Canis lupus familiaris: one gene and its partners. The protein of the gene in region 1 interacts with the protein of each later gene in a pairwise test. Links are inferred from orthologs where the notes say so. Each region holds a gene or a part of one and is shown on either strand. Other genes may lie near its edges.

Region 1 (4,102 bases):
CTGGCATTCCGGCACCCCAGCATCCCGGCATCCCGGCACCCCAGCATCCCAGCACCCCAGCACCCCGGCATCCCACCACTCTGGCACCCTGGCATCCCAGCACCCCGGCATCCCAGCACCCCGGCACCCCAGCACCCTGGCATCCCAGCACCCTGGCATCCTAGCACCTCGGCACCCCAGCACCCCGGCACCCCAGCATCCCAGCACCCTGGCATCCCGGCACCCCGGCATCCCGGCATCCCAGCACCCTGGCATCCCGGCACCCCAGCATCCCAGTACCCTGGCATCCCGACATCCCAGTACCCTGCATCCCGGCATCCCAGTACCCTGGCATCCTAGCACCTCGGCACCCCAGCACCCCGGCACCCCGGCATCCCGGCATCCCAGCTCCGCGGCATTCCAGCACCCCGGCATCCCGGCACCCCGGCATCCCAGCACCCCGGCACCCCAGCATCCCGGCACCCCAACATCCCGGCATCCCAGCACCCTGGCATCCCAGCACCCTGGCATCCCAGTACCCTGGCATCCTAGCACCTCGGCACCCCAGCATCCCAGCACCCTGGCATCCTAGCACCTCGGCACCCCAGCACCCCGGCACCCCAGCATCCTGGCACCCTGGCACCCCGGCATCCCGGCATCCCAGCTCCGCGGCATTCCAGCACCCCGGCATCCCAGCACCCCGGCACCCCAGCATCCTGGCACCCCAACATCCCGGCATCCCAGCACCCTGGCATCCCAGCACCCTGGCATCCTAGCACCTCGGCACCCCAGCACCCCGGCACCCCAGCATCCCGGCACCCCCCCCCCCCCCCCCCCCGGCGCACCTCCAGCCCGGGCTCCCGCGGTCCGTGCGCGCAGCCGGGCCCACCTCTGGGGCACCCATCACCGCCGAGCGAGGCGCGTGGGAGGTCGGCCCTCCGCGTGGGGGTCCCGGAGCGCTGTGCTTAGTGACCGGGTCAGCGGCGGGGCCTGGGCGCGGGGGCGGGGGCGGGGGCGGGGGCGGGGGCGGCCGGGCCCCTCGACAGGGCCGGGGCGCGCCGACCACCGGGGCCGGGGAGGGCCGAGGGCCCCTGGGGCGCGCGGCGGCGGGAGGGCGGGCGCGGGCCCCCGCGGGAGCGCCCGGGGCTGCAGGTGCGGGGACCCGCCTCCTCGGGAGGCCGCGGAGCCCGGGGCGGGGGCGGGGCGGGGGTGCGCGGGGCGGGGCGGGCCGGACGCCTCCCCGCGCGAGGAAGTCCCGGCCCCGCGCTTTGGGGAAGTGCGGCCCGCGCCTGCGCACTGCGGCCCGCGCCCCCTCCCCGACCGGCGGCCGGACCTGTGCGCGGGGCTGCGGCGGCGGCGGGGCCGGGAGCGCGGCCGGTGAGTGCGCGCGGGGGGTCGGCGGCCGGGGGGGGCGGCTGGAGCCCGGACCGCGCCGCCGGGACCGCGGGCCCACGTGGACCCGGGCGGCGGCGGGAGCGGAGCCGGTGCCCCGCGCGGGGGGAGGGGGCGCCGCCACCGGTTCCCCTTTCTGCAGCTCGGAGCCCGGGGAAGTGATTGCTCAAGGGGGGGCCGGAAGAGCCCCGGTTTCCGCGCCTCCCGCCCCCGGCCCGGTGGGGAGGGCCCGGCGGGACGCCCTGCGCGCCCCCGCCCCGCGCCTGGCAGCCGCTCGCTCGGGGCTGGCCGGGCTGACCGGGGCTCCCGCCGCCTCCACACCCCGCGGAGGGCCTCCCGCCCGCGGACCCGGGTCGCTGCAGCGCGCCCTTCGGCAGCGGGTGGGGCCCCGCGGGAACCGGCCCTCCCGCCCGCGCCTCGCCCCTGGGCCGATGGTGAGTGGGGCGCGCGGCCAGGCCCCGGGGGCGTCGGGCCCGAGTCGGAGCCGCGCCCCCCGGGCAGACCCCGCAGCGGCGGGAGGAGGAGGGAGACGGGTCGGCGGCACCGCGGCCCTGGGGGCGGGCGAGGGTCCCCGGGCCACAGAGGTCGGGCCCAGGCCGGGGCCGCCCCACCCATCGCTCGGGGCGGGGGCGGGGCGGGGGGCGGCCGAGGGGAGGCAGGGGCGCCAGAAGCAGGGGAAGGAGCCCCTGTCAACCCTCCGCCTAAAGGTTATGGCATTTTTTTCTGGGATTGTCACATTTTCTTATTCTTTTTTTGGACTGGGCGGGCTCAGGGACGTTCTTTTTCCTTCTGTGGAGCAGAGTAGCAGCAGCTCCCAAGGGAGCCTCGGTCCCCAGAGGCCAGGCTCGCTGCCCGTCCAGCCTCCCCCATCCCAGACTTGGGGGCCAGAGCCCAAGGGCTGGGAAAGGGGACCGAGCCCCTTTCCAGCTGCCAGGCGGAGGGGCAGGAGCCCTGTGCACACCCCGGGCGACCTCAGGAGACAGCGGGTGAACAGGAGACCCCGCCAGCCCCGGGCCAGTGTAGGCATCCACTCCAGGACCCCCAGCACGTGGGCGCCCTCAGACCTGGCCCCTCCTCCAGTTCAGAGCAGAGCCTTGGGGTGCCAGGGAGTGGAGGGGGATGGGGCCCTGCCCCCACTCGCAGCGGGTAGGGGTGCGGAGGAGGAAGAGCAGTTCTCTGCCTGGCTACCAGACCTCGGGGGTTGCCACACCCCTTCCCTTCCCTACAAGCTAGACCCCTGAAGGAAAGGCGGGCTGGGGCCCAGTTTGAGGGTTCCCCGTCCATGTCCATGATTTCAGGGGAAGCAGGCAGCTGGCCAGGGCCCTCAGCCCAGGGGACCCCACACTCTGCCCTAGATCTGGGTCACGGCAGGGCCTCTGCGTGCCCAGGCCCCAGAGGCAAGGGTGCCCTGAGCGTGCCTGAGTCAGGCCCTGCACCTCTGAGCACGGCTCCCGGCGCCCCCGGCATCCCCGCCGCTCCCTCCTTCCCACCTGCGAGACCCCAGCAGCCAGCAGGCCACGTGGGCCAGGCGGGGGTTGAAAGGCCACAGGCCCAGGGGTGATGTGATAATTACATGAGAAAACGAAGTGAAAGCAAGTCCTGAGCCTGCTGGCCACCGGGACGGGGGTGGGGGCAGGCCTGGGGGGTCACAAAGGCTGTGCGGGGGTGCAGCCGGGCCCTGGGGTCCTCACCCCGGCCAGGGCAGGCAGAGGCAGGTGCTGTGGTGGGAAAGCATTCAGACTGCCCCTGGGGCACTGATCGGCCACCCAGGTGTGGACTCTGGGATCCGCATGGACTCTGGGATCCGTGGTTGGCCTTGGGGACGGAAGGGGGGGGCTGGGGGGCTGCTCGGGCTCCTCACCCCCGCTGGGGGCTTCAGGGCCCAGTGCCCCCTGCACGCCTGCACCTTGAAACGTGGGCACAGGCATTGTAAACAATGCCGACCCGCACCCCGTCTGGGGATCCCGCACCTTGACCCTGGGAGCTGGACACCCCGACCCATTGCTGCCCTCCTCCCCGCTCCCCTCCCTGACTGGCACCCCAGGCTGCACTGGCTTCCACCGCCTGGTGGGGCTGGGGGAAGGGAGGCTGGGAGGCCCTGGGTGTGGTAAGGTGCCCGCTGGGGGTTGGGGTGCCAGGGGCAGCGTCTGGGCCTCAGGAGCCCTGCATCCCCCACGAGGCGCCTGGCCCTCCTCACTGTGCCCTGCTGCATTCCCCACACCCCCAGACCCTCAAGTCCTGCCCCACACGCAGGCTGCAGGCTGGGCAGCTGCGAACAGGCTGGAACCCTCCGGGGCTGAGGGCAGATCTGGGCACCTGGGGGGGGGCAAGCCCTCCCCACCTCGCCCACTCCCTACAGAAAACCCAGAATGGAGGGAGCATTAGGCTGATAGCCCCAGACTCTTGGGGCCCCCCAGGCCCCTTGGGAGGGGCCAGGAGCCGGAAACCAAGAAAGAGGAACCCAGACTTCCGGCTTCCCAGGGACCGAGCAAACGGGGGTGTCCCAGAACCTCCTGTGGAGATCTTGTCTGGCTCCTCCTCACCGCCCCTGCCCTTGCTCGCAGTCCCGGTGCAGGTGGGGGCAGGGGAGCAGGCCCCTCGGGCTCCTGGGCGGAGGGAGAGGCAAGTAGAGACTGTCGTCTCAGGTTCTCAGCGGGAACCCCCACCTCTCTTCTCAGACCCCCAGGCTGTGGTGAGGGTCCCGGAGCCAGCACCACGGAGCCCGGGCGAC
Region 2 (4,069 bases), on another chromosome or scaffold:
AAGACTTCAAACGAGCTAAATCGTTGCAGAATGAGTAAAAGCCGTTTTAAACTCTGGGTTGCGAGTAAGCCTGTGCCTCCCGACGCCGCGCTCCCGGGGTGGGCCCCGCGGCCCGCGCCCACAGCCGCGGCCGGGATCCCGGAGCAGGCGCCGCGATGGCCCCGGGGGGCACGGGCTCCCGGACTCCAGGCCCGGCTCTGGCTCCTCCTGTCGTCCCTCTCTCACGGCTTCCTCTCCCACATACTAGGTGCTCAGTTAATGCCTGTGGGTTGGGTGGGTTGGGTGGGTTGGGTCGCAGCAAGCGGGCACTCAGCAGCTGCCCCCACGCCGCCGGCGACGTTCGCTGAGGTCACCTGGGTCCCGGCTGCCGCGGCCCCGGCGCCTGGAAAGTGACCAAGAAGCAGAGCGGCCGGAGCCAAGATGGAGCGGAGGCGGGAGAACCGAGGAGGCAGCGCGGGGCGCGAGCTGGGGGGCCCACCTGCCGGCGGCGCTCCATTGACCAGGAGGTCCGCGCAGCCCGCGCGCACGCGGGGCGGGGGCGGGGGCGGGGGCGGCGGCGGCGGCGGGGAGGGAGGGACGCCCCGGCGCGCGCCCGGCCCCAGGCTCCGCCCCGCCAGGCTCCGCACGCGCCCACTTCGCGGAGCCGCGGGCCGGGGGCCGCCGGGAGAGGGGAGGTCGCGCCGCGCGCGCACGCGCGCCGCCGCCGACTGACGCGGGCCCCGGCGCGCGCCTCCCCCGCCCCCCAACCCCGGTCCCGGGGGCCCGGCGCGCGGCCCTGCTGACGTCAGCGGGCGGCTTGCGGTGCGGGGTGCGCAGAGCCGCTGGCGCACTCGCGCGCTGCGCTCGCCCCCTCCCCCGCCCGGGCTGTGGCGCGCGCGCTCGCTGGCTCTCCCTTCATTTTTTTCCTCCCCTCCCTCCAGCCTCCCCGCGTCTCTCTCTCTCTCCCCCCTCGAGCTGCCAGCTGCCCGCGGCTCCCTCGCGCTCCTCTCCCTCTCCCGTAGGCTCCACCGAGCGATGCGAGCTTTGGGAGACAGCGACGCCGCCTCCCGCTAGAGACCTGCCCCCCGGCCCGGCCCGGCCCCCTGCCCAGCCCTGCCCTGCGCGCGGGGGTCGGCGAAGGCGCCGCGGACGCACCGACGGCTGAGGACCCGCGATGCACATGCACTAGCAGCACCCCCTCACTCGCTCCCTCCACACCCCGCGCCGCCGCCGCCGCCGCCGCCGCCGCCGCCGCCGCCTCCTCCTCCTCCGGCAGCAGCGGCAGGAGGACCCACCCTGCCCCCCACCCCACCCTCCGCCGGCTCCGGCTCCGGCTCCGGCTGCGGCTCCTGCCTCAACTATTATTTTATTTATTTTGGGTCGTGCACAAGCCTCAGTGCCTGCAGCCCGCGCCTCCTCGGACCGCGGGCGCCTCCTCCCTCGGCCCCGGAGCCCCAGACCCCGGCCACCTTCGCCTCGACACCCCTAGAGCCCGCCAGCTGCCGCCAGTCTCCGCTGCTGGGATCTTGTCCGCGGCTGTCTTTTTGGGGGGTTCTGGTTTCCCGACATTTTTGTTTTCAGCCAAGGGAAGGATATCGTGGTTTTTTTGTTGTTGTTGTTGTTTTGTTTTTGGTTTTTTTTTTTTTTTTTTTCCCCACTGAGCCCAGGCTCTGCTCTCTGGGGGGGTGGGGGGCGCGCCGAGCCGGGGAGCCGTGCCAGCCGAGTCGTGCGGGCTGTGGCAGGGAAGGGGCCACCATGGGATGTACTCTGAGCGCAGAGGAGAGAGCCGCCCTCGAGCGGAGCAAGGCGATTGAGAAAAACCTCAAAGAGGATGGCATCAGCGCCGCCAAAGACGTGAAATTACTCCTGCTGGGTAAGGACCGGGGCTGCCACCCCCATCTCGCGACCCCGAACACTCCGCACCCGCCTCCGCCCGCTCTCCCACCCTGCTCGTGCCTGGGGAGACCTGGTCCCCCGGTTCGGTCCACCCTCTCGCATGCCTTACCCACCCTCCCTCCCCCTCCGTTCCCCTAAGCTGACACTCACCAGTTTTTCCCCCGGTCTGTCCCAACAGGGGCTGGAGAATCAGGAAAAAGCACCATTGTGAAGCAGATGAAGTAAGTCCCTGTGGCATTGGGATTTGTACTTTTATTAATAATTTTTTGTCATTTGTATTATCTTGCTCATTCCACATTGCTCTCCAGGCCTGGTTTCTGATTCATGCGCGCGCGCGCACACACACACACACACACACACACACCTGGATTTGATTCCCCTCCCCCACGCCCTACGTTGGTTCTGGGTCCTCCACCCCAACTCCCGGGTGGGTGGTTTTTCTTTTTTTTTTTTTTTTTTTGCAGGGGGGGGGGGAGGGAGGGAAGTGGAGCGCCTGTAGTTTGTATGAATGACAGTGTCCGCCATATTGATCAGAACATCACACTATTGGCATGATTCTAATCATTACTCTTGCTCCTTGGGTGTATCACTACCTCCATTATTGTCTGTTTCATTCTGTATTTCTCTCTCCTCCCTCCCTCCACCACCACCACCACCACCACCACCCATTCCACATCCATAATCCCACTTGCCCCTGCTCTTCTCCTGGGGCAGTGATTTTGAACTTGGCTAAAACATGGAAGGGACCCAGCCCTAGACTGGGGTGGAGGATCAAGTGTCTGCTGTTCATGGATTTGGTGCTGAATTGGGAGGTTGTGGTTTCTACCCCCCCCCCCCCCCCCCCCCCTTCAGAGAAGCACTAGGGTTAGGGGAAGGGGTATGTGGTAGGGGAGAGGTGGGCTTCCAAGCAGATATTATGACTGGCACAGCAGTATCCAAGGCAGAGGTGGACGGGGATGCTGGTTGAGGCTGAATGCCCAGCCCTTGTTTCCCCCCTCGTCGCCCCCCCCCCCCAAGCCTTTGCTCTCCTGACACTCCCTGGCCTTTATCAATGTATTTATTTACACTCTGCATAGGCCATCTTCCTTATAAATCTACCCTCAATGCGGATTTCAGGCCCCACTTGCCAGCCGCCCCCTTCTGCCTTACATATCAGTTTCGCCTCCTAATTAACTGGGGGTGGATTTGAGTGATGGTTGAAAATTAAAACAAAATGGGATATTCCTTCCCTTCCACACTTTGTCGGTTAGGAGCCTCGCCCCTCCTTCCCACTCTTGAAGCTTGCTTCTTGCCCCATCCACTCCGCAATTCCTGGCGAGCCCACCAGGCAGCTTTGCTTGGGAGGGGGTGGCCTGTGGGGAAGGGGTGTGTGCCCTCGGGGCCTCCTGGCCCTGCTGCTTCCGTTGGCCTGTCAGTTCGGGACGTTAAGACCGTTTAGCGAGGATTCCACGTCGCTTTGCTGTGACACCTTCGTGCACACACAGCTCCTAATTAGGGGTTGCTGTGCAGTAAACAAAAATGATTATTTTTCAGCTTGACAGAATAGCTGAAGTAATTGCATCCCGTAGGAAAACAATGGAAAATAAAAACCCCTTTCGCGGAAAGGTGGGTGGGAGACAAAACATGCTTGCGGTTTCAGAACCAAGATGCAAAAAAATCTTGCATGTGTAACAGGCATGACAAGCGGGTTCTAGGCGGCGCCATGATGGTAGGGAATAGCGACTCGGAGACAATTTCCCCACGTCTGCTTGACATATTCTTATTTTCCTTCGAGAGCTCCCTGGGGCTTGCTTTGCAGAGGCCCCCTCGGCTCGCCGCACCCCTCTGAGCCACGGGTAATTTGGCCTGGGGCTCCTCTAGAGCTTGTGCAGCCCAAATGGATGGGGAGGCGGGGCCTGGGGAATTGCTCTTTGCAACAAGGTGCATGTTGCATCTGCCTGGAGCCCTTGCGGGTCGGCAAATGCAGGCAGCGCCACCCCTCTCTCCCAGAAGGGGATGTTTCAAAACTTCAGGAGTCTGTAATCTGCAGTGGCGGCCTCGGAGCCGGCTAGAAGCCCCAGCCACCGGGCTGAGTGAGGTTTCAGGCGTTGCAAGTGGTGGACAGCGCCCAGCTGAGGCCGGAAAAGTCGCTGATGCTCAGCTCGGAGGCGCTCGGCTCGGTGCGGACTGGGCGCGGGGCTCGGAGGGACTCGGC
Region 3 (3,968 bases), on another chromosome or scaffold:
AACAGGGGGCTGTGGGTGGCCAGCTCCCTTCCTGGCTTTGTAGACCTTCTTGGTCTTTGGGCTGGGGCGTCCTCGCCTCATGGTAGTGGGGCCACACAGGACATATTTCTCTGTAACCCTTGGCAGACCTTTCACTGGAAGTCCATTAGAGGTCAGGGCTCCCTTCCTGAAGAGGATCAGAAAGACTGCAATGTTCTGCTAGAAACGCTGCTGGCCTCCGTCCACCTTTGCCCAGCCATAGGGGTGCAGCCACTGTCCAGTGGGGACAGGTCATAGGATCAGCGCCACTCATCTATCCAGAAATCAGGTAGACCTTTCTTTTCCCCACCCCCCACCTCTCTCTCTCTGGGCCTGGTTGCCATGTCCCAGGCTAGAGTCCCGGATGACTACAGGCAGGAGGATGCTTCCCAGATCGATGAAGGATATTTAAAGATTTGGGTGAGGAGAGGAGGCACCCGGCTGAGGGAGACAGCTGGGCAAAGGTGTAGAAGTGGCAGCAGACATTTTTTAAGCTGCAAACCGAGAGAGAAGAGGTCAAACCCGCCTTAAGACAGAGAAAGCCGAAGTTTAGAGAGGCTCCGGGGCTCTGAAGATCCCGAAACAAGTTTATTGGGTTCATTAACTTTAACAGGACGAAGACACGCCTCCTCCACCCCGCTAGCCCAACTTGCTTAAGCTCGAGGGTTGGTTTCTGCCCAGCCAGCGAGGTGCCCCGGATCCCCACCCTCGGGCTACAAGATCCGCCCGCCCCCGCCGTCGGGCCGCGGAGCGCCGAGCGCTCGGCACCCAATCGGAGCCCAGCCCCGCCCGCAGCTCGCCCCGAGCCCAATCCCTCTGGGCTTGGCTCCGCGCCTGCCCCTCTTCCTCCGCGCGGCTCCGCCTTCAGCCCGGGCCCGGGTCTGGGCGGGGCCTAACTGCCATTCGCTCCGCCCTCGAGCCAATCAGCGGCCCCGGTTCTCCCCTGGCCCCGCCTTCGGGCCCGCCCCGGCCCAGTCCCGGGCCTGGCCTGCTCCGGCCCCACCCTCGGCCCGCCCCGCCGTCGGTGCGCGGCGGCCGGGAAGGCGCCGCCCGCAGACGCTCGGAACTGCCGACCCGAGAGCTACTCGTAGAGGCCCGGCGGCGGGAGCCGTGTGGGTCGGGCGGGGCCGAGCCGGGCCGGGGGCCGTGCGGGGGCCGGGCGGCGGCCGGGCCGGCGGACGGCGGGATGGGCTGCACCGTGAGTGCCGAGGACAAGGCGGCGGCCGAACGCTCCAAGATGATCGACAAGAACCTGCGGGAAGACGGGGAGAAGGCGGCGCGGGAGGTGAAGTTGCTGCTTTTGGGTGAGGCCGCGCCCTGCTCTGGGACCCCCGATTCCCCGCCCGAATCCCCAGACGAGGACTTTGACCTCCAGACTAAGGGCCTTCAAGTCCTGACCTCACCCCCTATACCTGGACTTGAACTCCCAGACCCCGCCTGGCCAGGACACCCAAATAATGGTTCAAAACTCTGGGTTGGCCTAGATCTCTGATCGGAAGCCCAGACTGTAGATCAGACCCTCAACTCGCAGACGCCTAACCCCCAGACCCAGAACCTGCTTGACCATCGACCCTTGCTGACCAACCTCACAGACCCTCAGAGTCCCCCTGCCTTGTCCTTCCATCCTTCTCTAGACTTTACTCAAAAACCCAGAACCCCACTTGCCCCCACTCTCAGGCACCACCTGTTTCCCCCACCTGCTCACCTTGTTCCTATTGGGCATAAATATCCATGGGGCCCCTGCCAGCCCCCACCTCCCTCCTTCCCGCTCTTTGCCCCATCCCTACTCTGAACCCTGTATCCTCCACCTGTGCACCCTGACTCCAGGGTACTTCTTCAGTGGAAACTGTGATTGCCCATGAGCCCTCTCTCCTGCCAGAACCCCTAAACCTTTAGATACTCCTCCCTCCATCTGGCCCACCAGGTCGCTCTCTGCACACAGTACTACTCAAACCCCCTGCTTCTCCTCCCCTAAGTCCTTTCCCCACACTTTGGCCTTCCAGATTCCCCCACCCCTCCTGCACCGGTGGGCTGGGCCGGGCCCGGCGGGGTGGTGGGGGCCCAGACTCAGGGGCTGGACTGAGGCTCCACTGGTTGCGCTGGGGGAGGGAATCGGGCCTCAAGCTTCGCGGGGAGATTCCTCCCGCTGGCCGTTTCCCAGTTTCTAAGCCCCATCTGGGCCGGTGAGGGGGGCGTCTGGGGAGTAGGAGGGAGTGAGTATGGAGGAGTTTGGGTTGCGGCGCCTCCAAGGCCAGGGAAGATGGTGGCGGCTTGAGGGGTGGGGGGAAGTGGAAGTGGTGAGACAGCCGACATATTGCTGCCCCGGCGGGCGGGCCGAGGAGATATGTTGACGGGTGCTGGGCTTCCCGCACCCTTTCTGGGCCGAAAGGCCAAAGACTTGGCCTCCGGGAGTCAGGGGGCCTGTCAGATCCTGAGGCCCTGTAAGGGGGAAGTGGCGGACCAGCTAGATGAGGACTTGGGGGCCAGATGGAGTTGGGAGGCATCTGAGGTGGACTTTCACGAAGACTGTGGGCCTGGAAGCTGTCCCTAAGCGGCCTCCCGCCGGGAGCAGGTGCGGTGCCCGGTGGCAGCCTGATTCGGGGGCTTTGGGGTTGGGGGAGAGGTGCCCTCGCAGCAGCTCTGGAGGCTGGACAGTGTCTGTGGGGGGGTGTGGCCCCTCAGCCTCAGAGCCGCGGTGGGGTCCCCGGGCTGTGAACAGCAGAGCCTCCTTGCTGGGGGCCTGGCCGAGGGACAGTGTGTCTCCCATCTGAGCCCATCTGTTGACTGTCCCTGGGGGCCTGGCCTCAGGGGCACAGCCCAGAGGTTTCAAAATGGCATCCGTTCCGCCGCCGCTGCGGGTAGGAAGAGAAGGGGCGGGAAGGGGCGGCGGCCCAGCCTCCTGGGCTGTTTTGCGTTGGGCGCTTGCCTCTTCCTGTCTTTGCTGCGAGTGCGGCAGCACCAGTGAGTGGGTGTCGCCAAGGTGGAGGGCCCGTTGCCGCTGCCCACTGGGCCTGGGTAGGGTCCTTCTGGTATCGCTGTCCCCTGGTGCCCACCCAGGGGCCTCTGGCTGGCCCCTTCTCGGGCTGATGGGCTGAGGAGACGTGGGACTGGGCCATAGGGCCGTGACACAGAGGGCTCCTGGCCCTCTGTGCACCAACCCCATTCCACTAGTCTTGTTCCTTGGAGCTCAGCTCAGGTTTTGGGCCTGGCATCCCCTCCCACACTGGCCCGGCAGCAAGCAGGGGTGCAGGGTCTGGCTCAGCATTTTCTAGGCTGAGGAGTCCACCTCAGCATCCTGCTCCCCCTCTGGCCTTTGCTTCTTCTGTTGAATGGGCTTCCTGGGTTGGGGCCAAAGAGCGCTGGGCCCAGGATGGAGGGAATAGGGGCCCCGTGGAGGTTCCTGTTGGGGGTAGGGGATGGGAACTAAGTAAGGCCTTGCAGAGGGTATACAGCAAGGGGCTGAGAGACCTACCTCTGCCTGAAACTGCCAATCTGCCATGGCTGCCTGGGTAAGGGTCCTGGCTGGCCCATCCAGGTACCGGGAGGTGATGGGAGCCCAGCTGGGGCAGCTTCAGAGTGCTGGGTGCCTGTCCCATGTAGCGGGAAGAATTCTGTCCAGGCAACGGGACTCTTAGGTTGGGCAATTGCCAGCCTTCCCTTCCAGCCAGAACCACGCCTGCTGCCCCACCCGCATCCTGGCTCCTTGCCCTCCTGGGTAGCCCTGCTGGCGGATGGGCACCGGGGGCAGAGGCAGATGTGGTACATGCCATGAGAGTGTTTTTCCTGGAGCTTGGTCGAGAGGGGCAGAGCTGCTGATACCAGCCCTACTTCTGGGACACCCCCACCACCACCACCTAGTTCAACCTGACTGACCAACAGTTCCCAGGTGGGATGTGGGGCCTTGGCTTTGTGTTTTGGGGGAATGTCTCTGATTTGGGATGGGCTGGTGT

Evidence for each region.
Region 2: the proteins of RGS19 (region 1) and GNAO1 interact in a two-hybrid assay, tested with the Homo sapiens proteins (2 studies listed by BioGRID). The link is inferred for Canis lupus familiaris from reciprocal best matches to the Homo sapiens genes RGS19 and GNAO1.
Region 3: the proteins of RGS19 (region 1) and GNAI2 interact in a two-hybrid assay, tested with the Homo sapiens proteins (2 studies listed by BioGRID and IntAct). The link is inferred for Canis lupus familiaris from reciprocal best matches to the Homo sapiens genes RGS19 and GNAI2.

The regions. Positions count from the first base shown.
Region 1 is NC_049245.1:48,362,424-48,366,525, reverse strand, and holds the start of RGS19 (regulator of G-protein signaling 19), read left to right. Parts: upstream 1-1,302; 5' UTR 1,303-1,356; intron 1,357-1,682; exon of another isoform or gene 1,683-1,802; coding exon of another isoform or gene 1,803-1,805; intron 1,806-2,128; exon of another isoform or gene 2,129-4,049; 5' UTR 4,050-4,102. UniProt on the Homo sapiens protein: Inhibits signal transduction by increasing the GTPase activity of G protein alpha subunits thereby driving them into their inactive GDP-bound form. Binds to G-alpha subfamily 1 members, with the order G(i)a3 > G(i)a1 > G(o)a >> G(z)a/G(i)a2.
Region 2 is NC_049223.1:59,252,595-59,256,663, reverse strand, and holds the start of GNAO1 (guanine nucleotide-binding protein G(o) subunit alpha), read left to right. Parts: upstream 1-1,269; 5' UTR 1,270-1,734; coding exon 1,735-1,852; intron 1,853-2,053; coding exon 2,054-2,096; intron 2,097-4,069. UniProt on the Homo sapiens protein: Guanine nucleotide-binding proteins (G proteins) function as transducers downstream of G protein-coupled receptors (GPCRs) in numerous signaling cascades.
Region 3 is NC_049241.1:39,499,361-39,503,328, reverse strand, and holds the start of GNAI2 (guanine nucleotide-binding protein G(i) subunit alpha-2), read left to right. Parts: upstream 1-1,168; 5' UTR 1,169-1,204; coding exon 1,205-1,322; intron 1,323-1,329; exon of another isoform or gene 1,330-3,904; intron 3,905-3,968. UniProt on the Homo sapiens protein: Guanine nucleotide-binding proteins (G proteins) are involved as modulators or transducers in various transmembrane signaling systems.